Linked DNA regions of Struthio camelus. The protein of the gene in region 2 interacts with the protein of the main gene of each other region in a pairwise test. Links are inferred from orthologs where the notes say so. Each region holds a gene or a part of one and is shown on either strand. Other genes may lie near its edges. The genes, in order: ABHD5 and PLIN1.

Region 1 (16,060 bases), on a different chromosome or scaffold from region 2:
ATGTGGGTAATCATATTCAGGCTGCTTAGTAAAAGAAAACAGAAGTTAGTGGCACAGGGGACCCTGCTTAGATGACACACAGTCTGATGCAGCTGAACATAGTATCAGCACTGGCTCTGGCAGCCTGCACATATGACCCAGGCAGACACAGTACTCAATGGGAGTGCCCTTCCACCCACCTGAAAACACGAGATCTTGTCTCTCTCCAGCCACTCTGGTATCCCGGAGGGAATTTCAGGTTAATCACATCTGAGTCATGTGCTCTACAATAGCCAAGTACGACAAGATGGAAGATCTGGCCAGCAACATAGCATGTCATGGCTTCAGCTGCTGCCAGTCAATGAAGACATCAAACTACCGCTCTGTGCAGTTCACTTGCTTCTTGGAGCACTTTGACTTCTTTTAGCCTCCCCACAGCCAACTCTTGCACTTGGTTACACAAATTCCTACTGCAACTGCCGTGGGGGCTGTTTCAAAATGGTGCTATAGGTGCTCTGAATGCAAACACACTCCGATTTTGTAAATAGCGACTCAGTTAGGATTGCTATTTACTGTGCTTACATGACATGACATGACCCTGAAGCAGCCAGCATGATCCCCAATCTTTCCTTATGACTTTTCAGACTCTCCTCTTTTGTTCAAGTGCGAGGCTTATAAAGACATTTGTTAGCCCCAACCATCCACCCCAAGTAGTGTCCCCTTACTGTCCTGGCCACAGTCTGGAAGGTTTCCCAGTTCACAGACAACCTGCTCCCATGGCAGGATCAGACATGAGTCTTGGAAGGGTTACCAGGCAACCTGCCCTCCTGCAAAGCAGGAAGGTGAAGGTACAAGATGCTGAGACAGACTGTTTCCCCATGCAAGGCAGGCCTCAGACACAGTAATCATCAGAGAACACTAGCCTTCTGTCAGAGATGGACTTCCACTCCACCAACCTCACTTACAGCTCCCAGGACTTTGGATATCTGTAGGAACAGCCTGCTTACGTTTACCAGAGGCAGAGACAAGTCGTGTGGAAGATGCTGGCAAAATTCACATGAAGGAGGACCTCCAAGTAGCTCAAGACTTCCACACCTAAATATGGCTGTGGAACAGGATAATATAGAGCAGTCACACTAGGAACATAACTTCCTCATTTATATGTCCAGAGGGAGACAAGTCCTCCAGCAGCCATTTGGGTTTCCATTCAGGCTTAGCTAGCTCCAGCACCTGCAGCTGAGCCTGCAGCTCACTGTGTCAGGCTCTTCTCCTGAAGGAGCAAGCAAGATAAGCCAAGCCCTCCCAGAGACAGCTAGGCTCATAGGGGTATACAATGAGGGCTTCAGGGTCCTCTTGCTATTGTGAACAGGAACCGACCAACCAGTTTAATTTTGTGTTTTGCTTGTTACCCTCAGCTGCAGCAAAATCTCAGAATCAGGTGGTTCTCCTTCTCATGCAGGGCTACCTGGGGTGCAAGGCTTAAACCTTCAGCTGGAAGTTATGCCTGAAGTAGAAGATGGAGAACGTGTGGGGTAGACACTCAGAGAAGGACCTGTGGGAGCAGAAAACAAAGGGCTTGCAGAGGCTGTGTGGCAGTTAACTACATGCCTGCTGATGCACCACAAGAATGCAATTGGTGTGAGTCCCTTTGCTTGCGAGCTGGGGTGCTATCTTCGTTGCTGCTACCAAATCAGAATAGGCACAGTATATGATGTTCCTTTCATATAAACACCAATCATAAAAGCCCCTTTCCGCTTAGCTTGTAGACACTTGGCCAAGTCAGCCTGCTTTATGCTGATTTTAGCACGCTATTTGTGAGAAGCAGCAAGCTAAGTGGGTCATCATAAAAATATTTTGTTATTAAAAGTGTGGGTGATAAGTACTTGTGCTCTCCTTTCATGCTTCATTAAGTCACAGACTCTAACTGACAAGTAGCTACTTCTTCTGTAGGTCAAAAGTAGCATTTAAAGTGTAATATGTATAATATGGAAATTCTGTGTATTTGAGGAATATTTACATAGGCAATAGTACAACTCCAGATCTCAGATAAAAAATGGTAGTTATCTGTACACTGAGTTCTAACACTGATGGTCTCAAAGTTACTGTTTGAAATCCAGAGTAAGCAAGATGGTTCTGACAGTGAAAATTCTGTAATGTCATCTGGAGCCTTTCTAGCACAAAAATTGACTCTTTATCTCAATCTAGAACAAGGGGGATATGTGAGGCCACCTGGATCATTCTTCTTCTCCCAGCCAAAGGAACTTGTTTTTTCTTCTGATGCTATCAGGAAAAAATGTTTGTCTTGGAAAAATGTAACAAAGGATAACAACAGTGAGCAGGCATCTCTTCTTATTTTGTCACTGTGAGACAGAAAAGTCTTTCTTTTTTAAACTTATCCATGCTTGACGATGGGATCTGGAAATAAAATTCAGGCTCATATAGCAACATTGGGTAACATACTTCTTATTAAAGAGAATGATATTAAGCTAACCCAATAAAGTCCCACTAAAAATCAATATAGAGTCTTATTACTGAAGTGGGAGACTAAACAGTGGTAGGGATCCTTTCCCTACAGTCAAAGAGATAATATTTGCAGTGTCTAGAAATTTCTCTAAAATATCAAAATGAGAAAATTCATCTGAAGTACTTGCTTCTCATTATGATATAGCTGTCTTTCTTTTACACTGCAGCATCAGCCAACTGACATTCCTCTTTCTTCTATCAGCATTATCTCAAGAGATTTTTTCATGCACAGAAGTATAACTAATTTAACCATGTAATCAAATCAAGTATAGAAAAACTGAGCTATTTCTATCAAAGGCTAAGAAAGTAATAGAGAAAGAGGAACTCTTAAAAGAGAAAAGTTACTCGTACACTTACACTCTTAAACACATGTAACCAATTAGTGCTTTTGGGAGTGCTGCTGCAATGAAATCACAGAGAAAACTGTATCTAAACATTTGTGTGCTCCAGGAGTAGGGCCTAAATACTGATTATGAAGTTTTCAATATTAATTTCAATGGAATAATAAGTAGAAAGAATCACAGCATTCAAAGCTATTGTTTCAGGCTGTTAGCAAATTCCAGAGAGTATCACTGCAAATGTTTGCCTGTGATCATATACTTCTACATTCCTAGATATTCATATTTTCTGTAAATAAAATATTTCAGGCAAATAAAAAATAAACTATCCCGAGAAACGTTAGATTACTGAAGCATTGTGACACAGCCAAACAAACTTTAGCTGAAGCTGTGTAATCTGAACAATCGCTGTTGTTATAGAATAATTTTAGCTGTGAAGAATCTGCTATTACCAAATTAATATTATGCATTTTATCAAAGGATTTCAGAAAGCTAAATAAAAATCTTCCATCAGATAGCATCTGTTCTTCTAAAGTGCTTCAGCTCAGTGGTAAACTTCAGAAGAAATGCAAGACTTAAAAACTTACCACTGTTTACACTCAGTGCATCTTACTGCCTTACTTGAGGATTAGTTATTGTTCACTATGGATGCAGTTCTTACATAACTGAATAGTAATACGACCTGTGACACTGAACACTGCCTAGATCAAGTATATCCCTTTCCCTCAGCATTCTCCTCTCCATAGGTATGGGCAAACTTTCGTTCAAAGTACGTACAAGTCTTTCAAAATACTTGAAAATGTGAACACACAATAGGCGTTCTACATGTTTATTTCATAATTGTCTTGAGGACTGATACTATTTAAGCTACATTCAGAAATAATCCTATGTTTCTTACATAGAAAATCAAACACAGAACTAGCAACCTGAAAATCCAGTGCTGTTGTTGCTAAACAAGCTGGTGAACGAGCTCAGTTTGTGGAGGGAAAGGAGACGTTGGTTTGGGTATTGCCACCTCTCTTGCATTACTTGTCAACTTTCAAAAGGAGCTTTCAGTATCTAATGTCATTTTCCAAAGTTCAGGCTCTTGCCTACTATACAGTTATTAACTAGCGAGGTAGCAATGGGAAATATAATCACTCAGTAGCTATGTACCCATATTTCTCTTGGAGGCTTAACATTCACAGTTCAGAAACGCTTCTACGGATGATGTGGCTGACCCGCCGCGACAGAGCATTAACCCAGGCAAGATTTCACCCTCTGTCTAGCCTTTCTTCACAAGAGGTAGACGTCTTCGTTAGTAACCTAGGCTTTTATCTCAGGATCAGGCTAGGTCGTGCAGGCACCGTGGGCCCAGAAGCCCAGCTTGAAACGCCAGCAAAACCGCTTTCGCATGGCAAGAGCCCGTGCCCTCCCCTCTGGGCGGCGTGTGCTGTCCACCCTTCACCCGGGGTCCCCCGCAAGCGCGCACACACATAAACACACACACGGCGCTGCGGCAGGCAGCCGGCGCCATGTCCCTGCCCCCTCACCACACCCCTACCCGCCCCAGCTTGCGCGCGCCAACGGCCGCCCCAACGGCCACGCCACGCCGCGGCGCGCGGGCACCCTGCCCCCCGCCCGCGGGCGAAGGGCGACGGTTGGCAGGGCAGGACGCGCGGCGCGGCGCGGCGCGGCGCGACTCTGCCCTGCCCCCCCCCGACCGGCGCCGGGGCGCTCTAGCCGCTGGCAGCCTCCCCGCTCTATGGTGTGGGCGGCCGCTGCGGGGATGACGCAGGCGACCGGCGGGCGGGCGGGCCCCGTGATGGCCGGTGCCGCCGCGGTCGCGCTGTCCCTCGCTGCGCTGCCGGCCGCCGCCGCCGCCGCCTCGCCGCCCGCTCTCGCTCGCCGCCCCGCCGCCATGGCCGAGGAGGAGGCCCCCAGCGAAGGGTGAGTGAAGGGCGCTGCCCTGAGGGTGACCCTCGTCCTCCCTATATAGGCGCCCTGGGCGGGAGGGGGCACGCGGCGCCTATAGGCGCCCACCCGGCCCTGCCTGTGGCTGTAGGTTTCTCCCAGGTGCGTGTTTATACACGGGTTTACGTCTGCACACAGCTGCGTATCTGTATGCGCCGTGCCCCGGTTCCCGGGGCGCCGCGGGAGGCTGCGGCCTGCCGCCCCGCGGTGCCGGTGCCGGTTACCGGCCGCCGCTGCCGCCCCGGCGCTGGCGGCGGCGGCTGTGGCGCGCGGGGCCCCCCGCAGCCTCGGCCAGGGCCTCCCGCCCCGCTGCCTCGCCGGCTGCTCCTGCCCGGTCCCTCGCGTCCTCCCCGCGCCTGCCGAGCACCCCTCGTGCACATACGCACCCGTGCCGTCCTCTCTCTTGCGAAGCCCTGCCGTGTCTTCCCCTTTCACGGGCAGACACGTCCTTTCGCAGGCCGTCGCCAGTGTGATTTCGCCGCTGGGCACACGCAAGCCTTATGTGACTGCTGCTTCAACATCTGTGCGTAAACTTCACCGTTCCTGGCCTGGCTTCTGTAACCGCGCTCCCGCCTGCATAGATGCATGCGCGTTTCATGAACTGCCTTGCCTCAGTGTATATGCACATTAATTTTATCCCCCCTTTCTTTGCACCCCAGTCTCCTCTGTGCGCACATCTGTATATACAGATGCCCTATGCTTTTGTGTGTGTTTGCAACTTTACCTGTACGTGCAAATATCCTACCTTCTCATTCTCTACGTTCAGTATGTTCACTTAGATGCAGAGCAGGCAGTAAAGTTTTTCAGTCTCTCTGCCACTCTACTATTATTCTTTCACTTAGATGCAGAGCAGGCAGTAAAGTTTTTCAGTCTCTCTGCTGCTCTACTATTATTCTTCTCTGTAATCCTCGATACAAGGTGGGGATGAAAGCACATCTTTACAATGTGCATTAACCTATTTACTCTTGCTCTGACTTTCCCCCTTTTTAATACTGTATACCTACCTCGTCTTCAGCTGCCTTCACTAAACTTTTCGTTCTTTTCAGTGTCCCAAGACAATCTCATCGACCAAACTAACTCCCCTGCTATACATTGCCCTGCCCTGTTCTTAATGTACATTTGATATCCCTAATATTTGTTTGTAACTACTGACTCACACGCTCAATATGTGTCTTCATTATAGCTATTAATCACTCTTCTCCTGATGCTACGTAGTCCTGCACTGCGTCTTCAGACTATGTACATGCAAATGGTTCCATAAGTTATTAAATAGTGCTCCGCTCTTCTTCTGTCCCCCTATTATTTATTGGTGTATATCGTCTCATGCCTTGTCCTTCAGTGTATGTTTTACTTCTCATTGTACACTTCAGCTGCCAGGACAGACATGATATCTTTCTATTGCTCCAAAATGTATTTTCTGCCTTCCCTTATTGCACTATGGAATATACAATCATCCTGTCTTTGAGTCTTTTTTATTCATAAAACATACTTCTTAATCTTATCACTTATCTCCTAGTTTTCCATCATTATATGTGCTTTTAGTCTAAACAATATTCCATCAGAGTGTATCTAATTGTGTTGTAGTCATACATATGCTGTATTCCCTCAGTCAGATAAGCATATGTACTTTGTATGTGCTATATACAAACATTTTTCCCTTTATTCCTTTATCTCCATCGTTCATGTAAGGTATCACATGACTGATTCCTGGCCCCCAGAAACCCACTCTTGCTCTTTCCTTTTTTCTTTCTTTCCTTTCATAATTAAATTTTACCTTTTTTGAGGAAATCCACCTAAAATCCTTTAACCGCTAGCATGAAAGTCATGCTGTGTATTCATGACTTCATATGCAGGATAATATTTGTTGCGTGTGGTCATGTTGTATGTCTGTTCTGTTATCAGTCTTGTTCTCTATTTAGCCCGTTTTACGACTTCTGGCTTTGATACTTCGTCTTGAATGTTGTCTGCTGCCAGCTCAATTTAACCAAACCTGGACTATTCATCTTTTCATGTCTTCAGCTCGCTGTCGTGCCTTTATACCCATATACACACAGTAGTCTGTTTTTTAGGATAAGCTTGAAAGACTTCACCTGCAAAGCCCTGTGCAGTTTGGTCTGGTCTGTTTCTCTGTTTGGTCCTCCTTTCCTCAAACTTAAAATAGCTTTTTTTATATCTTTTCTTTCTTTATACCTTCTGCAGCGTTACTACTTGCATTTTAAACTACGTTTCCCTTCTTGGTTCTGCGTTCAGATGACTTTCTTATCTATTCACATTCATAAAATGCACGTCATTTGTAAAGCCTCTTGTTGATGATTTACGAGTTTTCTAAATCAGAGCCTTAAAATAGCTCTGCCTCAACCTGTTTTGTTTATATGTTCATTCAGCGCATTAGCCTGAACTGTATTAGCTGCCTTATTTGATCACATGGAGTGCTGAGTGCTGCTTAAATAGTGCCAAGTGCCCTCAACTTCTGTAACCTATCAGAATTGCAGGATTATAATGTTAGACTGTCTGGGCATAGCGTTAGGAATCATAGACTAAGTTTTCAAAACGGACTATGACAGTCTCATCATGGTTTGCTCAACTGGATAGCTTTTAAAGGGACTTAATTTTGAAGATGATGTCGGTGCCCCTCTTCTGAGCAGTCAGTACGTTTAATGTGAAATCTTTCAGAGTAAGCTCCCCGGTTCACTAAAGACTTCTAAGAATAAGAATAAAATCTCGTGCTTCTTCTCTGTGGTTTCAAAAACAACATTAGCTATGATGAAATGTTAATGCTCCAGGTTATTAGCACTATTGTTCTGTTTCTAATATTAGTCAAAATTAGCATTTCTTCATCCTTTCAAGCTGAGCAAAGCTCAGTACCCACAGAAGACTTATAAATGAGTGAAATATGTTAAATACTTTTGGTTTTAAAACTCTGTGACAATGAGAGGAAGAATTATTAGATACCATTAAAGCCCTAGATTAAATTGTTAGTGACAAGTATATCTGAAAAATAAATATGACGTTTACTTTATTTGCCTGAAAAGTTAGTGTTACTTATCTTGTTTTGCAACATGCCCAATTTGTTGAAATCTGGTAACTGTACAAGTATGGTGAAAATGGAGCAACAGTATCTCAGTAACTTCCTAGATGGTCTTAATTGAAAGATATTCATGACATTTTCTCATTCCAGGTCAGGACAATTAACTAAACAGATGTTTTGGGTCTTCATCGTGGGAGCATTTGCTTGGTTAACATGTCACTTACTAACAACTCCAAACCTCTTCGCGGCCTTGAACCTTCTCTGTATAAGTTGCAGAAGTAGACTTCTGCCTGTGAGGCAATCAGCCTAGCATAATCCTTTTGCCAATATTGAATTCACTTATGTTCATTCTGGATTCAGCAGGACTATTTATGGCTTACAAAATAACTAGTAATAGCAGCTACTAAGTATATGCACATATCTGGGAAAAATCCCAAAGACAGAGCACTGTTTTCTTTCCCTCCAAGATAAGTGGATTAACTTTCTCTAAAGAAAAAAATGTAGAGGGGTCTGCACTTAAAAGCCTACATCAAATTGTTTGCATGTGGCCTGTAGTCTCACAAAATAGTGGCTTAGAATAATATTTAAAAACATATACTGTAAATGTCACTGCAACACCAATAATCACAATTATTTTTCCGTTATCCTTCAGGCTTGTTTGTGTTTGATTCTTTGGGTATGCGGTTTGAAATGTTACAGTATTCTTTTTACAAATTATAGAAGCAAGTTATTGAATTAAAGCAGAAGAGGAATATTGTATCAGACCTTATACAGCCTATGTCTATCTTTTAGTAAGATAGTGATATTAAAGCGTACTTTTAAGGGGCAGTCTGAATTCAGATTTTTGCTTGCTTTCTTGCTGGTTTCAACATCTAGATTTTAAAGCAAACCTTAAGCAGATGGGCTGCTGAAAGCACAATCCTTTCTCTTTTCCTTTGTGAAAGGAGCCTTTTCCAAAGGCCTGTCGTATAGCACAGAGAACTAGCAGCAAGTCTGGGACTTGCAGCTTCCATTTTTTAAAGTTAGTGAAACATAAGAAGTTCATTGTGATAGCGCGTGTAAAGAAGGAAAAAAGGATGTTTCCTTCCTCTTTTTTGATTTTGTCTTTTTCACTGGTAGGGTTGTGTAAGTTGTAACTTCAGTGCTCAATGCCTTTTGCATTCCGGTTGTGTAGTCATCTGAAAGTATACATATGAGCAGGTTTTCAAGCGTTTATAAGCTTGTCTCAAACAGTTTTCCTATCCTTGTGTGATTTTGGGAGAGGAAAGTCTGTGGTCATCAGAAAGATAGCTCTTCTCCCCCCACCCAAACTCAAGGGAGAGAAGGAAAGAGATGGTAAAAAGATAGGAGCTATCTTCTCATTCCAGTGACAGAAGAAAGATGATTGTGATAGTGTGTTCCCTATCCCTGACAAGGAAGAATTTCATGTAAATGCTCCCTTGAGAGGCTTAAATAAGCACATTAGGGAATTAGAATAGTAGTATTCAGGCTTCTGGGCAAACATTACTGAACAAGGAGGGGAAAAACTACAGTGAATATATAGGAGTAGATGGTCTGCTCTTTACTTGGTTTTGACTGCTCTTTGGATTCTCTTGTTTATTGGATATTCCTTGAATCAAGTTTAGGACAGAGGTTTAGAGGACAGTTTCTTACTTTTTGATTTCTTCATTCTCTTTCTCCTTTCCGGAGTGGTCCTCCATTGTTACACGTGATGTACTAACGTTTGTGAAATGGATTTTTAGATTCAGATAGACCCATTTATATATTTGCCTACCGTCTTTCATGCTCTTTCAGCGTAGCAGGGAATGATATGATAGAGCTGCTGGCAAGGACTTGCCAAAGAACCCAGCAGGGAAGAAATAGCAGTTGGTCAAGATGCGTTCATAAGACCTCAGGGAGGCCCCTGAACTTCCTTTCACAGTTTATTAAAAAATAAAAATAAATGTGGGCATGACACACTTTCAGTTTATAGCTCAGCAAACACACTTTTATGATTTTTCAGGGAGTTTAGTTCTTCATAGTTCTTTATGATTCTTAAGGGAGACTACCTCAGGAATCATAATCTAGAGGTTTGAACACCACAAGTTAGTTTCTCCTCTACTCTTTCTGAAACCTGTTCTTATGTTAGACAACATGAGAAGAAGCATCACCAACATACTCCAGGGAGCTGCAGAAGGTCTTTTCCCCTCAATAGTTCTTTTCGAGCCACGGCGAATCTTTTCAGTTGTTCTTTTCCAGTTGCATATGATGAAAACACTGGTTCCCATCCTAGGCGAAGCAGTATTCAAGTGCATGATTTTCACTGTCACTACCAGGCCTGAAAGTAAACCCAGGTAATCTTCAGTTGTGTTGCATGTGGTTCACGCTTCAAATATCTAGTAAACGGACACAGAATTCTTACAGATACCATTACAGAGAACGTACTTTTAGTATCTTGCCTGAAGTTACCTGTTCCCGCTCTCCTTCAGTGATTATCTGGCCAAGTCATCTGTTACAGCAGAAATCCCCTGTTAAAAATCCTACTAGATTTATCAGTCATCTGGCTCAAGTCCTTACATTTCAGAAAGACAACGAGGAGTGGAGGGGGGAGGATAGCAGTTATAGAGTAGCTTTTCAATTACGTTTAAGATGTTACTAATTGGGGGTAATGCAGGATTAATAAGCCAACATTAGGAAGTCTGCTGCTGGCACTGTGGATAAAGTGGAAACTTTATGTTTACCAAGCAAACAGTTTAGTATGGAAGTTACCAGATTAGGATTCCAGTACCTGTTGAGTAACTGAAGTCATAAGCCCAATGGAAATTTAAAGGGACTCTCAAACTGAGAAGGTAAACTAGCTTTGGAGTTACTATTGGAAAGGTTTGGGGATCGTAGCGTAACACAAACTTTTGCCAGTATTGCATACCTTTGGATAAATTCTAAGTTTTCTGGAGCCTGTTTGAAGATCGGTGCTGTTCCAGAGTTCTGTTGTTTTGTTGACATTATACTAAGCCTTGCCTTATAGGCCCGGTTAGAGACCTAGCCCTCCAAAAAGGACAGGGTCCATGCCAGGAGGATCTCCACCAGCTACAGGTTTTCTAAACGTTACTGAGAAAATCTGAAGAACTTTCCTGGTTGATGAGGAGGGAGGAAAAAAGCAGGTCTAATAGTTTTTCTGGTGGCTTACTAAGATTACTTGATGAGGAAATTTTGATTTTCAAATTTCATAACTTTTGAGTGTTTACTTGCAATTCTGACATTCTTTCAGGATAGTTTTTTGTCCATAATTTGTATTGACAGCAAGAGGGAAGAGGGCATGGGAGGAAAGGTGAGTGGCTCAGTTTACATTGGCACCAATGGATCCAGATTAGAGGCTGAACTGCAGGAGAGAGGTCAGTGGAGAAGAGAGATATTTGTGTCAGTGAAGCTATGTAATGGGATGAAGTCACTCTGGAATAAGGTTAAGAGGGTAAAAGAGGAGGAATTTAAGGGTAAATCCTTGAGTGACAAGAAGAAAACATGGAGATGAAGGGTGAAGGAGGAAGATTTTCTGAATGAGTTGTAACAGAAAACAGAGGATCATGTGAGGTTACAGAAATGAGGGGGAGAGATATCCCAGAAATGCTTTCTCTAATAGAAAGTTGCAAGAGCACCTCTTGCCAATGAGAAAGTCCACTAATACATTGCAGTGAGGAAGAGAAAGGGATTACAATGCAAAAAAAGGAGATGGGGTGGGCTAGTACTAACAGACTATTGTTGAACTTTTTTCTTGATGACATTTAGTAAGTATTATACATGAGTCTAAAGGCTTATTAATTGTGTGTGTGTGTGTGCGTGCGTGTGTGTGTGTGTATATATATAAAAAATAAAAATACCTTTCCCTAGCAGAACATTTGATGCAATGGCTTTTTAGACCTGTTAGATCTTCTTACCTGTTTTTAAGGTTATTTGCACTTCCCTTGACCTCTAAAAATTTTGCAATCTAGGCATGTAAACAAAACTATCTTTGAGTTTCTGGGAGAATGGGAGGGACTGGGTACTTCCTAGACAGTATTCATGAGGGTTTTCTAAGAAGTGGAGGCTAGGCTCAGTAGGTCAAAACATTGAGTACTGCAATTTGACATAGGAAGAAGTAGCACTGTGGTAAAAAGACACAATGTAGATGCTATTCCAAAGGTATGCAGTGAAAGGGTGTGGTATAAATGGGGTTTGGTGTATAGCATGTTTGGAGCTAGGTGAAATAATTGCATTCTTTACATAGTCTTTTATCTGTGTTCTTATGCAGTTCTTTATGGGAAAATAAAAATGTGTATCCATCTCCTATTTAAGTTGTGATCCAAATTGTGTGTAATGCACTAAGGAATATAAACAAAAGATAAATGGCGTAGTGGACAATTATGTAGATTTACAAAAGATGCTTGTTACGTATGTATTTTATTTTTGTTCAATTTGAAGCAACTCAAGGATAGTCTGAAATGTGGGCCTCTGGCAAGGTAGATATTAGAAGGCTGATAAATGAGGTTGAAACAGTATTTACTTATTAATATATTATTTTATTTAAGGTTATGCAATATCTGAAGGGCACCAAGAACATATCAGTAGGTGAATAAAATGAGAGTAGTAGGAAATTATGTAATACCTGAAAATGATCGTTTTATTTATTTTAATAATACACTTCAGAAGTTCTTAATGTGATGTACAATGTGATGTTTGTAACAACACTTGATTACTGTGGCAATGCCAAGTTTTATCAGATGTGAATTTACTGTGGTGGAGTTGAAGGGGTGTAGATCCTCACTAGTACCAAAGCTGTGTGTTCCACGCACAATCTCTGTCACGAGGTTGAACAGTTGTTGTGTGACTGGCAGCTCCCCCTTCTCTCTGCGCTGTACCTGCATCTTTATCTCTGTGTACTGTATTCTTTCTTACGTGGTCTGTAGTCGCTAATATGATTTTTCCCTAGATCGTCTTTGATTTTAGCTTTTAAATTGAGATATAATGTGAGTCATTAGAAAAGATGGAAGGAAATAATTGAGGGCTTGATTACCCTCTTACTGTTAGCAGTTGGAGTACTGTAAAGTTTTTAAGGGGAAATGCTTATATGTTAGGGAGTATGTTGTAAGTTAGGGAGGGGAACAGTGTTATTGAAAACCTGTTAGAATTAATTAGTTCTCTGCTCTGTAGTATATTTGTGACCTGGCTTTAACCAGACTGTGGAGTTAGGAGAGGAGTATATCTGATGTTTTGAAAGGAGATAGAACACTGCAATTTTCGAGAGATTTAGAGCCTATTTAGCAGTTGGCAGTGATAAGAATAAGGAATAGCTGCCTGACCAAAAGCATGTGCATGTTTTCCTCATTACTGCAAACATTCTTAATGGTTCCTTGCACTAGACACTAACACAGTTTATTTTGTAAGCAGTATGAGAGTTACAGGGTGCAGGCACAGGCAGCAGTCCACTGATAAGCTTTATTCGTGTGGCGTTCACTGAAAGAACACATGCTGCTTAAATCTGTGCCCTGGAATGGACACCTTTGCATATACCTAGAAATGGGGCGGAAGAAATGACAAAAAGGTATAGAAAGGAATTACATATGGATAAAAAGTGAAAGGCAATACTGGGAGACAGAGAATAAAATGTATTTTGGGGGAGGAAACAATGATGTAAGCTATATAGCCATGCTCACCTACAGCTGAGGTTCAGCATGGGAGAGAGCAAAACTGTACGATAAGTCCTCTGCTGCCTGAATGCTCAGGTTGCTCAAATGAATTTTAACATCATGGGGAATTTGAATATCACTAAAATAGCCAGGTAATACTCATTGCTTATGATTTACCGCATTTACATTCTCAGGTTAATTTTGCTAAGTATGAGTCCTGTATATCACTGTTCATATAAGTAGAGAGAGTAATAAAATTTGCTTCTGCATTTTTGCATTAATGTTGATGTCGAATGTTCTGAACACAGAGTTCAAGATGCAGTAAATACATGAGGAATGCATTGTTTTTGCCTCTGACCTAATATAGCAATATTCTGCAATAACCTACTGTGGGCTTTTTGTTGAAATGGGGCTGATGTACATTACACTTCCTAGAAATATTATGCAGAGGTTTTCAAAACACTGCTTTCTATTTTAATGTTACTGAAGTAGCCAAGAGTTTCACAATGTTTGATTGCATGGAACATCTTGGCTTGAAATTGTTCTAAACAGAACTTTACAGGCAGGCTTATAATGCCATCTGGGGGAAAAAAGTGGTTTCCGTTTTAGCCATAAAACTCATTTACATCAATGTCCTATATTTTTTGTCACCTCATGAGAATGCTGAACAGACCTTTGTTAAAGGATTGGGGTTTTTTTGTGTTCCTTTCCCATACCCCTAATTCTCGCTTCTGGGTCCTGCCTTTTTAGTATGCTCCTCAAGTCTTGATGTCGCTGAGGACTGCAACGTGTTCAGTCTTTTTACGTGATAATCATGAAGTGGATCAATGGAATACATTTCTTCTCCTGCTATTTGTCTGTAATTGCCAAAACTTAGTTTTTGTCCTTGGAACATCCCATTCAAATTACTTTTGTGGTTACTACACCTGGCTTATACTTTACGTGCAAAAGCTGTGCCCCGGATATGCAGCCTTTGCAATAAGAGTCATTGTGTATTGATTATGTGTGCTGGAATGATTCTGACTGTATTCATCATTCTCAGAAACCTGAAGCACTGAAGAACATGTTGTACCTTGGGGGCACGGATGAAAGACTACAAGGAGTCCTTAAATTAGTTATGTTGTTAAAGCTTTAATGAAACCGTATCCTGAGCCTTGTCCCTGAGATGTCCCTGGCCAGTTAAATCCAAACGGTCTGACTGAGGTCATGGTTATGTATTAACTGTCTTGTCAGTGGCAGCTCTGGCTTAAAAGCTTGCCATCTTCCACCTTCCCTCACTGGTCAGGCTTTTTCCACCTTGTTAGCACATAGCTTTGCTGGTTAACTGTTTCACTTCTCTGTCAGCTGGATCTCTAGAATTATCTGGTTTAAAACATAATTTCTCTTTAGGCTGAACTAGTTCAGAAATCTCAGTTAGAGAGCAGCCACAAAAATAGTTGAACTGGCCAAATGGAGCAAGTAGTAAGCCTTTAGATCTGATCTACTGCCAGTGATGATGGCCTTAGAATCAGGTATCGCACCTCCCAGGTTACCTCATACTGATTGCGGCAGGAATGAAAATGCAGAAATAGGATGCTTCTCAGAATTGGACCAACATACAGACTTCTTTGTGTTTTATCTTCCTCATTTAAAAATAGGCTTTTCATCATTTAACAAACTAATGTTGAAGATTAACTCTAGTCAACTTAATCAGGCAAAGGTTTATGTCTAATAAATATTTCTTTGCTGCTCCTCGTCATCAGGTTCTTGTGGCTTTGGCTTTAAAAATATGTTTTCATGTTCTTTCAAATACTAGCTTGAAATAGCTTTATTGCATTTTTCTCCAAAGTATTTTTTTTTTCCAGTGCTTTGTTAAACAACCTACAATCAAGGGAAATTCTCCTGGGAGTAAGTAGAGAACACTATGGGGCTTGAGTATAGTGAATGCTGCGGAGAGAAATATTTTTTCTGTACTTCAAACAATAAAGTTTTGTAAGTAATAACAGTGTTGTTTGGAAATAATAATAAAGAAACATTTATTCTTGCCATAATCAGCCATGTAAACAATATTCAGTATTCTGGTGTTGCAAACCATTAAATTAATAAAATGGGAAAGGAAAAGTGTACAATTTAACACTAGTTTAGGCATGAATTAGCCAGATGTAAACCTACTGCCTCTCTCTGATATTTTGACGCGCACACTCTTACTTGTTTCTGCCATCCTTGACTCTTTCTTTGACTTTGTATTATTTCAGGTTATTACTGGAAAAGTAAACTTGAAATTTAGTGACCAAAAGCAGAATTTTCTCTGATAACTTGTTTATTGTTGATGATGGCAGAAACAACATCCTACTGACCTCTTAGATTTTACCTAGACTGTTACTGATGCTGAGGAAAATGCAGAAAACTTCCAGTAAACAGGCTTACTTCTGCTGTTCCTTTTAAAAAAAAAAACCATAAGAGTATCTCTTAGGTATCTCACTTAAACATCTATGCATATAAAATCCTGTGTTAACTATAGAGAGCATAATGGCAAGACAATGTTTTACTTTTAAAACTGGCACTTTGCCCTATGCTGGATATATTGAACTCTTGCCCCATTATGAACACCTGAGGCTATT
Region 2 (15,108 bases):
CCAAGCCATTGAGCTCTAACTGAAGCTCAATGTCATGCAGTAATGAGTTCCACAGGTTAACACCTTCTTCTAACACCATTTGGATTACCTGGCTGTAGTTTTACTTCAGGTCCCACCTGTAGGATCCGGCTAGGCAGGAGAAAATGAAAGGTAGCATGTCTGAAAAGGGAAAAAAGAAACATGCAAAAGAAAGGCCTTGGTAGCTCAACAGCACTGCAGTAGGACCTGGAGTGGCTCTGGCCCTGCCCTGAAGCCTTGGGATGAAGGAGGGAGATCTGAGTCAGAGGACACTTGGGAAACACCCTATGTTGAAATTTCATGGACTAAAATGCTGGTTAGGGCTCCTACTCACCTGGGGATCTCATCCTTGCTCTCAGTCTCGGCCTCCAGATACTCCTGATAAGTGCTGTGGAAGATTGCCTCCTGCTGCTCCCACTGGGAATCCTTGATCAGGTGATTGTACCCCAAGCCAAATATGCTGCCATCATCCACTTTCATCAAGGCATCCAAAGGGCTTTTAAAAATACTTCCTGGATTGAGAACACAAATGAAAGAGCCACAGCGTGGGGAGAAGCAGACACTACGAAGACATGGGAGAGCTCAGAGGCACTTCTACTATCCCAACTTCAGGGTGGCATTGTCTTCAAGAGGGCCACGTTTCATCTTACTGGCAGAAATGTTTCAACATTAACAACGTTCTGTGGAACCTTCTGTATCACTAGTCCATTTTCCAGTTATTTGAAGGCAGGGATCAGGGCAAATCACTTGAGGATCCAGCTCATTGCCTTTCTGTGGCATTCTCCCTGACAGCATCCCCAGAACAAGGTCTGCTCCCTCCCTAACCTCCTCCCTAAAGCTTCAGCATGTTCCTTTGAATTTAGGAGTCAGAGAGAAGAACTGGGATGGCTGTCAGACTGCTAGGATCTAGGAAACAAATAGTCTGCTCCCTGTCTGGTGGCAATGAAGCTGAGGCTGTATGAAATCCGCTGCCAGGCACACTGAAGTATTTTGTGCTAACAGTGGTGGCACATCATGCAGTGGTTGGGCAACAAGCAATTCCCGCTACAGGACTGTAGGCAACTACAGAGACAGGGCAAGAAGGAGCCAGGAAGCACATTACTAAAACTTGCTGAAATATTCTGTTCTGTAGACATAAGGGCCATGATTTCTTTGCCACCTGAAGGAGGCGGAGGGGTTAGTATGCAGAAACAGTCCATGACCTGTAATAGGTTTCGGTGGCTTGACTTTCAGCAGCAACACTGGGAGAGCCAGCTTTGCATCAGCTTTGTTTGCAGACACAGACTCCTGCAAGAGAGAAAGAGTCAGCTTGAGAACTGGCTTTCCCGTAGCTGTGTTGTGTCCTATGCTGAAAGTTTTCACCTGTCAGAAGTTCCTGAGAATCAAACGTTTCCTGAAGTAGGATGTTCCCATCTCCTCAGATGGGGCAGTACTGCTGGGAAAGGAACTGGCAGTTTCAGGGAGGGGCAGCAGAAATGCTAGCCTTGGGACCGAAGGAATCTCCTTGGAAAGCCTATCCATTGGCAATGTGTCCCAAAAATATGGGACGACGTAAAGCTTGGCTTACACTGCCTAGGAGATACTGGTTTTAGCCTCATTCTTCAGGCCAAAATACAGAAGCTTGAAGGAGGTCACTACTTCCCCAACAAAACTACAGAGGATCTCCTCCTCAGACACTTTGCGCTCTACATGCACTCCACTTCAGATCACGCTGAATGCCTCTTGTTGTAGCACAGGCCTGGGTGGGGCACAGGAAGGCTTTAGACCTCAAGGGAAAAAAAAAAAAGACTAAAGGTTGCAGAGTGCTGTGGAAGAAATGAACCAGATTTGGCTTCAAAGGGTCCAGCACTCTAGGAGATCACTTGTATGTCTGGTTGGGAGTGGAGAGTCCTACCAGAGGAAGTACACTTGTGTACCCTCCCCACACCCACACAATGACACCAGGGACTTGGCTAAACAGGAAAGGTCAGGCGAAGCAGCGCATGTCTGAGAAGGAAGAGGCAGGAACTTGGGTACCTTATACGAGCACAGGGGATCAGCAAAGAGGGAAGGCCTCAGTGTTTGTTTACTTTCGGCTTGGCCAATTTAAGGGGGATGTGATTGTCACGAAGACAAGGCTGAGTAGCAAGTCCCTCTTAAATTCCCAGAAAGTCTCTGCTGAAGGAAGGACAAACTGTGAGGCAGGTGTTACAGAGCATGAACTGGAGGTGCAAGACAGACAGTGCCTGAGTGTCGAGAGGTGATCTGGCAGGGTGAAAGTGATGTGGGAGAGGGTTAAGCACTGACTCAGTATTTAAGATTCCCCATAGCAGCTCAGGACATTCACTGAGGTCAGTTACCATCTCTGCAGAACGCTCTCCATACAGCTCCAGACTTTTCTGCCAAAGAACCAGAAGAGGGCGGTGGTTACTTCAAACAGGCTGACAGAGGGTGGGCAGAGACCCTACCCTGCTCAAGTGGATTCAGCTACAACCCCAAGAGGCTCCTCTTGGGGATCTAAAACATGAACCCATGTCAGAGGCACTGCCAGGACCAGACTCCCAGGTGGAGATATAACGCCTGATTCTCAGCTCTGCTCTTTCACCCTCCCCTAGTAACACAAGAAGGAAGGCAGACGTCCTGTGGGAATACCCCCAGAGAGGGCCTCCTCAGATGGGGCAAGTGCTAGGAAAGGAGCCGGCAGTTTCAGGGAGGGGCAGCAAAAAATGCTAGCCCTGGAACCAAAGGAACTTCCTTGGAAAGCCTGTCTTGGGAGAGTTAACATGTCCCAATAACATGACACTCTTGTGAAACGTGGGATGGGCGGCTGTAGAAGCTGCAGAAACAAATACGCTGTCCCCCTGGGCTGACAAACTTGTTCAGCCGGAATCTTGCTGTCACTGTCTGCAGGAGCAAGCGTTAAAGACAGACCTGTAAGCAAAAGGGTACAAGAGAAAATAGTACAGAGGGAAACAGAACTATTTTTTACCATAGATGTCTGACTTGACTTCCTCTCCCTGAAAGCCAACTCTGCTGCAGCTCCTGGGCTATTTTCTCTCTCCTTCAGCCAGGAATCCTTAGGCAACTGGTAGATCTCCAGCCAAGCTTCTGTGCTGCCTGCATTGGGAAACTGTATTGAGCAACTGAAAATAAGGAGGAAAGGTCTTTCAGGCAAGCAGCTCTTACATCCTCAAGAAAAGATCTGGATCCTTTTTGAAATCTAAAATCCCTTTGCTCTCCATGCAGCCCACCTCTCCTCCCACTTAAGGATTCACATGCTAGACTCCAAGACAGACATCACAGCCTCCAGCTCAACCCCTTGACGCCCACCAAACAAATTCCATCGAGTGCCTTTGTCAAAGAACTTGACCTGCAGCCACTGATGGAAGGTAGAAAGTGGTCTCACACTGACTCTCAGTGGATGTTATATATCTCAGTCTCATCATATGACCAGGCAGGTTCCACCAGACGTGGGGTCTAGAAAATCTACTAGCAACAAATGGGCTGACAAAGGCAGCTGCCCTGAAACAGAAGAGTGCTATAGCAAGGCGAGTTTGTTGCTATGTTTTTAGAGGCTGCTCCTATGCTCTCTGGCTTATGTCTGCAGAGAAAGTTCTTCAGGTCTATATATTTCCAGTGTAAAAGTGAGTCCTTGTAAACCAGATGAAGAACTGAGGCAGGTACTTCTACAAAGAGGGAAACCTGCTTTCACTGAGCCTTCTGGGAGCCTTGAGAATTGCGCTGCCTAGTTCCATTCAACTGACTTGGGATCAGTGCTGATCTATAAGAGGCCTTTTGGAGAGGACAGGGAGTGGCAGCAGCAGCTCTCTAAGCTGGAGAAAAGGACTGGGTAGTTTAGGAAGAGGATCCCTGGGAACCCAGAAGACAGAACATTTTAAAAGCATCTGCCGCTGCCCCCTCTTTTAGAATGCAACAGTCGTCGTCCAATGCACCATGCTCCTGCACTTGCCTTGCAGCAGAACTCCTGCGTAATCACCTCCCTGGGAAAGCACCACCTCCACACAAGTACTTCGCTTGCTGATGTCCTCCTGCCAAAGGAAAGATGGCTGGCATCAGAGCAGGGTTACCGATGTAGAGCGCTCGATGACTTTAAACAGTTCTCTGATGGGTGAAGGCAAGACAGACTAGCGGGAGACCCGGACTAACTACCACATGTGCAGTGCACAGGCGTGAGACTAGGGAGATAAGGAAAGTGCCCTGTGCCTAGGGTTTTGTTTTTTAAGTTTGCCCTGGGTTGGCAGGAAAGTCTAGTGGCCAACAGTGCTACTCATGTGCCCTGTGCAAGTGCCTCAGAGGTGCTTAGTTCCAGTCTTGCCTCGGGCTGTCCTTCAAAGGTGCATGGAAGCTTGAGCAGATGCAGAAGAGCATAATGGAGAAAGATGAGGGGGAAGTACTTAGTGCTCTGGCTTGATCCCACAAAAGGGCAAAGAAAAAGCAGACATCAGAAGAATTTAACACCAGACAAGGCCTTGGAGACTGGGAAAGGGATTTACACTTTGTGATTTACACGTACTTTACACTTTTTGATTTACAGTTTGCATTCTTAGCGGAGAGCCATCAGCTCTGGAAATCACTTCCCCAAGTAAAGGAAGACTCATTCCACTGGGTCATAAACAATGGCACTCAGGAACCTCCAGGAGGTGCTTTTGCACAACCCTATACCTATCCTATACCTCTAGGATATCTGCATTCAGAGAGGACTTTGGCAATAACATGGGCTGTATGTCACATAGGCACACTGCCTATGCTCTCCTGGCTCAGTGAATGGCTCTCTGGTCTTGGAGTGCTGCTGCTGCCCATACCAGAGTATTTTTGGAGGGCAATTAGTACTCATCCTGATTGATCACTTAGCAGCTTTTGCCCAGGGTTTATGAAATTAACTCACTACTTACCATTTCATTTAAGTTTTTAATGAATAAGAAGCTGTCCTTGTGAAAGCAGAAGAGCCAGACAAGCCCTAGAAGCGAAACACAGAGATAAGTCGCAGTCCAGTGAATACATGGTAGCCAAGCTCTTGGGAGATGGCTGTGACAACACATGCGGGAGAGTGAACAGGATTACATATTTTCCTGGGCTCAAGGAGAAATGACCCCTTGCTTCCAGCACTAAACTGCCACTGCCTTCCTTATGTCAGCATTTGCAAACAGTTGGCCATACACAGACAGGGCTCAGCCAGCTTGAAAAATATTTCCACCAAAAAATGATAGCTTTCGGATGAATCAACAAACTAAGCTGATTTATCATAGGGCTGTGCAATTACAGATGCTGAAACAAAGAATGGGCAGCAACCCACGGCTAACAATACTTTCTGTCTGGTCTAAGGTATTGCTAAAATTTACTGCACCTCAGCCTGAGCTCTGCACTCACCCCTGCTGCTCCAGAGAGAAGGACACCAAGCCCACACCCTTCACTAATCCCACGGCCTTAGGCCTGTCTGTTACCCTACAACTTACTATCTAACACCCTTCTTCATAGACCTTTATAAGAAACCTGTCAGTAATACTTATACTCCTGCTAATTTAGTACTTTTCTGTAAAGTAGCTGCCAACTCTTCAGTCCCAAAGTGCAGCCATCCCCGAGGTAGCTCAAAGAAATCCAAATCACACTAACCCATTTCATCCACAGCAAGCAGGGCATGGTGCTCATTCCCTAAGTCCGAGGCATGGATGGCACAAACCTCTGTCTTGGCTGCATCCCAAGCACAGGCTTGTTTACAGTCAGACACCTTGAAGACAGCCAGACCCACAGACAGCCCAACAAAGAGGTATTTTCCAGAGACTGCAAGGCAGTTGGCTCTTCCTGTCACCTACCAAGAAAAGGAAAATGTGAATATGCCCAGCCGCTTCCCAGTGGGCGACAGGTCAGTCACGGTCAGCCATACTAGCAATATACTCCTAACTTTTCACTGACAGTAAACACTGATGTACTCTACGAGGGAAAAAATTTTGCATGAGCTTTCATCAGAAGAATGGCAGAGGTAGAGGAGAGGGTGAAGGTGTCTCAACTCCCATCAGAGATGGCTCTGTGTCAGGAATGAGAAAGTTGGCTCCTACCCTTCCCCTTCAGATAAACAGAAGGGGCCTTAAGGGCCAACAACTTGGCAGCACTCAGCCCTCCCTCTGCCAAAGCAGAGCTGTGATGTGATGCTGAGCCCCTCTATTCTAGGTAGTTGCAGACATGCCTCCTGGGTACCTGCCCTCCAGATCCCTCTGCAGATAGATGGAGAAGGCAGTGCAGCCCTTCTGCACAGAAGGCTCCTACAAGCCCCAAGAGCAGCCCCTTTCTGCTGCCAGCTATCATCATAAACAAAGCTGAACTTGTCCATTTACATGCTAGTGACTAACCACCTTCTCCTCAGCAAACAAGGGTGGGGCCAGCCTGAGAAGCAAAAGGTGAATTTAGTACTGTTTAATATCTGCTTCTCTCTTTTCAGAGAGGTGTGATAGATGGGTGGGAAGCAGACCTGTCAAACAAGATTGAAAGCTGCAGCCTTTTGAAACGAATAGGGTGAGATGGCAGTGGATTCTGAGGAAGGTGATGAAGGGAAGGATGTAAAAATCAACTGAATGGACATTATCAAGAAAAACTTCTAAGGTAATTAACGCTCTCTCTGCTGCGAGGGGCTCTTTACCTGGAATTCAGCTGTGGGAAAGCATTTTGTGGCCTGGATCCTCACTTTTTGTGCTTCTTGGAGTGTCTCTCTTCTTTCAATGATTTCCATAGCATTCTCAAAAACGAGCATCACCAGTTTGTTGATCATCCGGAAGGGCTGAGGCAACACATCAAGCATTTGATCGGGATCCTGCAGGAAGAAATTTTCCTCGTCGTCCTTTAACCAGTCCTTTTCAGATGGTGGAGGAATCTCCAGGGGATGCTTCCGGATATACACTGGCATCTTTCTGCCTTTCCAGATGCAAAACGCTCCACAGGTGCAGTAACCACAGTAGACGCAGAAGACCAAGGAATTGTGTCATATCTACATTCATGAGGTAATGGAAAAAAAGATGGTTAATGATTTCTAACAGGGAAGCAGGGTTCCTATCCGTAAACACAGTCAGAGCAAACTTGTTTTACATAGCTCATTTCTACTGGCTCCATCACTTCTACTGCTCGTGTTTTTGCCCTGCTCTGGGAATACTGCTACTGAGATGCCTGCAGGCTAAACACTGAGGTGAAAAGGTAAGTGTAAAAGTTTAGGGGTGCGTTTGTATACAACATTTGTAAGTATGGGCTTGTTCTTCGTTAAAAGGCTTATTCAGCCCGGACTGAAAAACCGGACAAATTAATTTTGAAAACTGGCAATTTCACCATAAGTTTGACTGAACTTTAAAGCCATTGGGCACAGCATTTACTTCCAGATGTCAACGTTCACAGCGTGCCCGTGACCAGGGTCACCACGAGTTAGACGCTCACCCGCCACTGGGAGCCCTGGGGCCCGGGCAGAGGGGCCGGCGGCCGGCGGGGGCCCCGGGCCAGGCTGGCAGCCGGGAGACAAAACCCCTCCGCCTCTAACGCGGAAAGGGAGAAACAAAACCGCGGACCTCTCGAGCTGAGAGCTACAGAGCTGCAAATTAACCACGCGAATCCCGCCCACAACACCTCACCGGGCTCAAAACGCCGCTTCCCAGCACGGCTCCAACGCCCAGGCCGCCCACCGGGCAGCGGCCCGCGCCGGCGGCAGCCTCGGAAGGGGACAGCGCGGCGCCGCCGCCGCCGCCCCTCACCTGCCCGCCAATGTTGTCGGTCGCCGTGGCAACGGCGGGGCGGAGCGCCGCGCCGCGCCGCCCGGCCGGAAACGATCGCCCCGGCGGAGGGTTCCCCCCGCTCCCGGTGCCGCGGCTCGCCGCGCCCGGCCGGGCGGGAGGGGAGGGGAGGGGAGGCGGGTCCCGGCCCCCGCGGCGGGGCGGAGCGGAGCCGCTGCCAAACTCCTCCCGGGGCTGCCCCTCCGCTGGCGCGGCCATGGAGGGCTTCGTGGACTTCACCAACCGCAGCCAGGGCCGGGACCTGCTCTTCCGGTGAGTGCGGGGCCGGGCCGGGGCCCTGCCCGCCCTCCCTGGCGGTGCCGGTGCTCCGCGGGGGGCAGCCCGGCGGCGCCGGCCTCTTCGGGGCCCTGTGTCTGTCCCTAGCCGTGCCGCCGGCCTCCCTGCTGGAGCTGCCCGAAACGTGCCCCCGTGGGACGGAGCTCCCCCGCCTGCCAAACTGCCCGGCCCTGGTGGCGGGGCGCTCGGCAGGCCCCTTGCGCTGCCGGCTGCTGCCTTGGGGCCCCCCTCTGCCGGGCAGGTGTCACCCCGGAGGGCTGCTCCCAGCCCTGCCCGCTCCAGGCCTCCAGCAGGGCCCCTCTCTGGCAGTATTTCGTCTTGCCCTTTCGGGCAGCGTTTCGCATCCAGGCCCCCAAGCTGCTCCTCTCTGGCACAGCTCTGCTGCGTTTTTGGTTTTTGCTTGCTGCTTTACCTGTCTCCAGCTGCTGCACCTGCACGTGTGCCCTTTACGCTAGATCTAACTAATCCTGGCACTGCTGCATGCGTAAGGTGCCAAGAAAGATGAGACGGGTGACCTTAGGCCTGGAAAGAAGTTTTGGCCCACTTCTGCTGTTCCTATGAATTGTCTGTGTTTCACCTGTGAACCGTTTTCCTCGTTTTTTCCATTCCAGAGCTACTCAATACACATGCATGTTGCTTAGCTATTTGTTAGAGCATAAGGCTGATAAAGAGAAGCTGGTAATGAAACTCAAGCAGTTGGAATCTAGCATGAGCTCTGGCCGTAAAAGTAAGTACCTGGTGTCTAGAGGGATAGTTCCTCTTCACTTGTTCCTTCCATCAAAGTAACTATTGAGCCAGTGTTTTGGATATTTAACCTACCTTAAGCTGCATAACCTCTTTTTAGTATACTCACAAAATTGTCAGTAGACCTTATTTTGTGCTGGCTTGCCAGAATAGGTACAGCCATTTAGACATTTATGACTTTGTTAGCCTCTTCTCTGATTAGGCAAGCTGAAAGTATTGGTGAAGGAACTAGAGAAGTGAGTTAACAGTCAGCTGTTGCTGCAGAAATCAAAGTTGTCATCTCTGATAAAGGACAGAACACAAGAGTTAATGATACAAGGCTAGCTTACTGCGTGCTTAGGAGTCCTTTCAGCTAACGTGATGAGACAGACATGTTAAGGATAATCATCCCAAGAAAATCTCCTCTGAGGGACCATCCTTTGATGTGGATTTTCATATCCTACTTCACATATTAATTTTCTTTGGCACTTATACTCTACCAAATTATATACTCTCCTGTACTTTTCTTATGATCTAACCATATGCATCATTCCACTCTGTGTCACAATTGCATCAATTATGGTTATGCTGTTGCTGTTGTTATACTGCTTGCTCTCAGGTTATTCTTATACCTGCCTTTTGATTAACCAATTCTAAAACAATTTTAGTATATAAGGCATATATTCTAATTTAAAATGTTACCATATATTTGTTTTATTATTCCAATTAGCTCTGGAGTACGAGAGGCCAGCTGGTTTATCAGCATACCTATAATTCTCTTGCTTATGCTAAACAAATCTCTAACAGAATTCAGGCCTAAATTCAGGCCATTTGCAGTTCCACAGAACTTGGACACTGCCACATCTGTCATTGTTACAGAGCAGCAGCTTATGAAACATGTTCTGTGTGACATTGTATTAACAATCATGGGTAGTGTAGAGGATGAAATTAGGCTTGTTGTGTAGTATACAACATATATGGAATATACTGTTCTTGTTTGCAGAGAACTACGTGTGCTTCTGAAAAATCCAAGGCTGAGGAAAGACTTGGGTCTCAGTTTGACCTACCTGTGAATCACCAGCCTGCAGAGAAGCTTAGAAATGACATAGCTCATGGCTGTAATGGGATTAGTGCAGTAGCGTCTCCTGTCCACAGAGTTAGGAGAAGTCTGGTCCAGTCTAGAGCTGAAACCGGAGGCTCTGTTTGTGTCACTTTTTTGCTGACACTGCCTTGTTCAGGGCAGTTGGTCATGTTGGTCCAGAGAGCACGTAGGCCCTGGGAATGGAGTGGCAGAAGGTTGCAAGTCCTGGCTATTGAGAGAGTTATATGTAGGTCCTGGGCTGCTGCAGAACAGTACTGAGGTATTTACATCCCTTTCCTTGCAAATACTAGCTTCTTACTTTGTGAACTCAAAATTTGCCCTAAGAGAAGACACTTAAATATACAAATGCCCAAAGACTACCAAGTTTTTGAAAAGTATATGTGGACAGTGACATGCAGAGTTGTCCTACATAGGTCTGTGTCTATTTGTGGTAAAGGGCAGGTCATGCTAACGCTTACGGGCTTTCTTGCAGTGTTCAGACTGGGCAACACGGTACACGCCTTGGTAGCAGCCAAGAGAACTACACAGTTGCCAGATGTGGTTCCTCGCTTCTGCCTTACTACTTCCAACCTGACCCGTGCACTGTACTTCGTCTGCGACACAGTCTTGTGGTTGAGGAGTGTTGGTCTCCAACCTGACATCGATAATCAGAAGTGGCGGAACTGGGCTACCAAGTGTTACTACTTTTCACTGCTGATGAATATAGCCAGAGATTGGTATGAGATCTCCTGGAGGTTGGAGCAAGCTATACAGAAAGGAAAGACAAAAGAAAATGCTTCCTGGGACAAAGAAGATCACAAGCTAAACTGCTTGAAATGTGATAGCTTGCCATCTTTTCTACTCCTGCTGTTTCAGATATTGAAAAGACATCCTCCTTTGCTGCTAGACCTGGTGAAGAATCTGTGTGATCTCTCTAGTCCTTTGGATGCATTAGGAATCTACAAGACCAATCCAGGAGTCCTGGGTTTCTGTGGCCTCATCTCCTCTCTGGTGGGGATCCTTACGTTAGCAAGCCCACATCTGAAACTGAAGCAGTGATGCAAAAGGAGCTGCGTAGTGTGCAATGAACCAACAGTTTTGATTCTCTGTCAGGTTTTCTTTCCGTATGGCACTTTAAAAATGAAGATGTCTCACACTAACCTCAAGATGAGGTTTGCCCTTTGAATAAGTGAATTCTACCCCTTTTCCTTCCCTGTATCTTTGCAGATGAGTTGGGTGCTATGACACACTCCCTGATGGGGTAGAAATGGGAGAAGACAGAATAGTATTTCAGAAACAGGCTTTGGAACGTGGCTGCTAGAGGAACGTGGCTGCTAGATAAGGAAATATTGATGTTCCTATACTTTAATCTAGGGTTGTGAAATAGCAGCATAGACAACTGTAATAGATATATGACTCATAACTAATCATGTTTACACTGGAAAGGTAGAATTCACCAATCAAAGGTTCCTACAGTCAAATTTTTTAGTTTATTCAGGCAAGTTAGGAACTGTGATTAAAATGGCCTGAAGTAAAGTGTGAGCCCTCTGATTGGTTTGAATTGATGGATCCTGTCATCCGTAGGCAGTGGTTTGAATCCAGTGTGATAGTAACTGAAAAGTGATATTAACTAACTGACCTTTCAGTGCTCTTTGTGTAACATGCGTGGGTGCTACTGGATCCATAGTCTAGTGAGTGCCAGTTCATGCCCCAGGAAACCAGCACCTTCTTCTTTTTCCTTTGGCAATGTGAGCCAAGGATTGTTTGCTGCAGACTCTGAATTCTCCAGCGGGCCATTGGTGAGGGTTTTGGTGAAGGACAGCATGTGGGAGAAGCTTATCTCAGTGCTGATAATCCTGTGATTTGTAGGGAACTGGGTTTCCAAAGCTGTGAATCTGGAACCACTGGCTAGCCCTGAATTTCCCCTTATGCACACATCTTAGTTCCCTAGCCCCTGTGATTCCAAGTGCAACTACTTTCCATTAATCCCTGTGTGCTAGGTAGCCTGATTTGTTGTTTTCATTTTCCTTGAAAAATTCCAGCATAATAAGGAGCTTTGGAACCTGCAGTTAAGGAGAAAAGCCTGTCTTGGCGCTTGTGAGTTGGAAGGACTGCAAGGGTGTGTTTCTGGTTGTGTAAGCTCCCGAAGGGAAGGGAGCAGAGCTGGACTTGATAACATCAGAATCTCCTGTGAGAAGAGAAGCTTATTATCTGGATTTGGGCATTCAAGTTTCAAATATTCCTACCTGATCTTCTCTATCCTTCCCTGTCATGGCCACGAGATTTCTTGTGTGTTTGCTCACTGTTTGAATGGGCTCTACCATTTGAAGAGGTCTTACCTTTTCCCTGCAGCTGCATCGTTACTCATCACTTACCTAGCTGGGAATGATTGCCTGGCAGTGTGGTCTAGGTTAAAGGAGAAATGCTGTGTACAGTTGTCTTAACAGTTGCATGACATGTGCAGTCCTTGTTTTCCTGACTTTGCAGCGTACCAGGTCCAACACCATCTGAGAAATATTTGCTCAGCCTATAGGAGACAAAATTATCACATTTCTTCATCAGAGCTAGGCCTGTGTGTTCTGCTGCTTTCTGATGCAAGGACTCCTTGTTTATCTGTCAGGAGATATGAACAGAGATTATTCTAACCAGAACCAAGGTAGTCTCTTACTATTTCTGACTCTGGCCTCCTTTAATTTCTGTTTACAGACAGTCTCCTTTATTAAAAGGAGAAGGCTGTAGAATTTAGTAAACATGGTAATACATGCGTGCTCCAATTTACCTTAAATCATTTTGCTCGTGCTTGGAATTGCTTCCACTTTGAATGTGAAGTGTTAGCCAGCCAATAAAGTGTTTGAAAAAAGAGCTTGCTGGGCAGGATAATTAAGTGTGCTTGAAGACCAAATGTGGCCTGCAGCAGCTCTTCTTTTTAATATGGAAATGAATACCATTAAAAGTAGAGTGTGCTGTCTGTTCAGACCGTGGTGGAGCGTTATGTGATGGGCTGTGTTGTCTTCAAGGGCTTCCTCTCCTTTTTAACAACAGAATTTTTTTTCTTTACTCCATTTGCCTTTGAGCTCCTGACGATGTGTGGACCATCCCTCCCTCGGTCAGAGTTTGACCATTATCCCAGTGTGCAGTAACTGCTGCGAAGGGAGTAAGAGGAGTCTTGATGATCTAGCAAGGGAGGTTTGGCCACCCTCTGCCTACAGAGTTTTATCTTCTTGCAAGAAGCTGTGCTATGAATTTTCTACAGGGGAGCTCTCGCATACAAAATGTATCTTTCATTGATTTGCCAACTGATTTTTCTTTTTCCCTTGTAGATAAAGGGAAATGGATTAAAATATTAATGTGGCCCCTAGCTAGATACTCCTTCTTGTGCCCCATGGAGGGAAACTGTGCTTTGTTTCCTTTGGGTTGGACAAACACTGTGCAAAGCCACGAGCCGACCTTTGATGTTTCTCTTGTAGAGACTGGGGTTAGCAATTACGGACTTAATTTTGGAGATGGGGCAGTGAATTTTCAGCCTCTCTCAGCCTGACTGAATCATTCTACATTACACATGTCGGAACATACAAAAGTAGCTCTTTTTGCTGGGTGTTAAGCACTAATACTTGTCTTTCTGCTCCCCAGCTGGAGGCTAGAAATGTAATGTACCTTAATGTAATGTGACTGAAGCCATAGGATCACAATCAAATGGAGAGAATCCTTTTAGTGCCTTTTCTTTGTATCTCCTTCTAATACAACAGTTGGAATAACGATGGCTGTTTGAGTACAGGCAATAAAGTTAGATGGGTATGGCACTGTGTCTGCGTGTTACTTAGAGGGTGTGGAGAAGAGGTAATGAAGGTGCAATCTTTCCTCACGTTTCTGAATATGAAGGATCATATTGCTAAAGAGATGTTGCCTGTATTTGCACCTGGGTTACAGAGCTTTCCTTTCACAGTAGCAAGGTCTCAGTCAGATTTGTCATACTCGTTTATAATCGTAATTTGAGTTACAAAAAACATTGAGAAGGGAATATGTGAGTACTTGGTATCACTGCATATGAAACGCACTGAAGGAAAATGGCATTTTGGGCATCGGCGTGAGCTGCCCTTGAGTGCAAGTAAGGAGAGCTGGCACCATCTGCCCGATGTAGGCACAGCTACTGTGAAATGAACTGGTGCACCTGCATTTTGTTATCTTATAAACAGCCTTTTGTTTGGATGGGTCTCACTGCTGAAGGGTGAATCGCTGCATCTGTTTAACAATGAATGTCTGTTTAGGGCAGAGAATGAAGGATAACGTCCCCAGTAGAGAGGGGAAAAGATGGAACGGGGATAACCATTAAAACTGGGCTCTTGCTGGTAGCTTACTGCTAACTTCCCTCCCTTGCAGTAAGAGCTTGGAGAGCTCAGGAGCTCTAAAATGTCGCTTCCTGAACAACATGTAAAGTATTGTGTTCAGCAATGATATAGCAAGAGTTCCTCTCTCTGAATTACTGATCCCATACACATTTTGTAATGGGAATGAGCAGGAGAGCGGCATGCGAGTTGTGTAAAGTAATCCTTCTACTCTACTTACAGGCAAGACCTATTAATGTTAATACTGTGCCTGGCATAGTATTTAAAGAAATATATGAACCGTTCAGGACTCACAGGTGAGCAGCAAGTACAGTCAAAAATCTGAAAACCAACATCTGTGAAGAGGGATCTAATGAACCTGCTGTGCAGAGGAAAGGTGACCGAGAGGAAGGTGTGAGGAAATCCTCAAATATCTGAAAGGCTCTCTGCCAAGAGGAAGGTAATAAATTGATCTCTAAACCCGTCCATGAGGTAACAGTTTTATATTGCATCAAAGGAGAATTAAATTGCACAGGAGACTTTTTTTTTTTTTGAAGTATAGGTAAAATGAAAAACTAAATGGATCACCTAGGAAGGCAGTCTTTAAAACGAGCTGGATGGACACCTGCCAGCAGTGGTTTAGGGGGTGCTGATCCTTCCATAGAGCATGGGAATGGATTAGTTACCTCCCCAGGCTCCTTCCAGACCTAAGTGTAAAGATACCTTGCATGTCTTTGGGATCTGGCTCATCCCCTCACCATAGTATATTACTGCGTATGGAGCAGACTGCAGAGATAAGCGTGTAGAAGTCCTGCACCTAGTTGATCCAGTGAGCTCTAAATATTGCCTGCAGGAACACAGAAACTGTTTCTGGTGTGCTGTGGAGCAGCAGGGGGGTGGAGCTGGATGGATACCTTTGCACTGC

The links.
Region 1: the proteins of PLIN1 (region 2) and ABHD5 interact in a protein complementation assay, tested with the Homo sapiens proteins (3 studies listed by BioGRID, with this or other methods). The link is inferred for Struthio camelus from reciprocal best matches to the Homo sapiens genes PLIN1 and ABHD5.

What each region holds. Positions count from the first base shown.
Region 1 is NC_090943.1:48,169,946-48,186,005, reverse strand, and holds the start of ABHD5 (1-acylglycerol-3-phosphate O-acyltransferase ABHD5), read left to right. Parts: upstream 1-9,939; 5' UTR 9,940-9,942; coding exon 9,943-10,154; intron 10,155-11,947; exon of another isoform or gene 11,948-11,962; coding exon of another isoform or gene 11,963-11,976; intron 11,977-16,060. UniProt on the Homo sapiens protein: Coenzyme A-dependent lysophosphatidic acid acyltransferase that catalyzes the transfer of an acyl group on a lysophosphatidic acid.
Region 2 is NC_090953.1:10,033,720-10,048,827, reverse strand, and holds the start of PLIN1 (perilipin-1), read left to right. Parts: upstream 1-7,844; 5' UTR 7,845-7,977; coding exon 7,978-8,033; intron 8,034-15,108. Other genes in the region: WDR93 (WD repeat-containing protein 93), read right to left, coding at 89-159, 353-530, 1,221-1,305, 2,358-2,396, 2,987-3,110, 3,964-4,046, 4,911-4,975, 5,629-5,824 and 1 more. UniProt on the Homo sapiens protein: Modulator of adipocyte lipid metabolism. Coats lipid storage droplets to protect them from breakdown by hormone-sensitive lipase (HSL). Its absence may result in leanness. Plays a role in unilocular lipid droplet formation by activating CIDEC.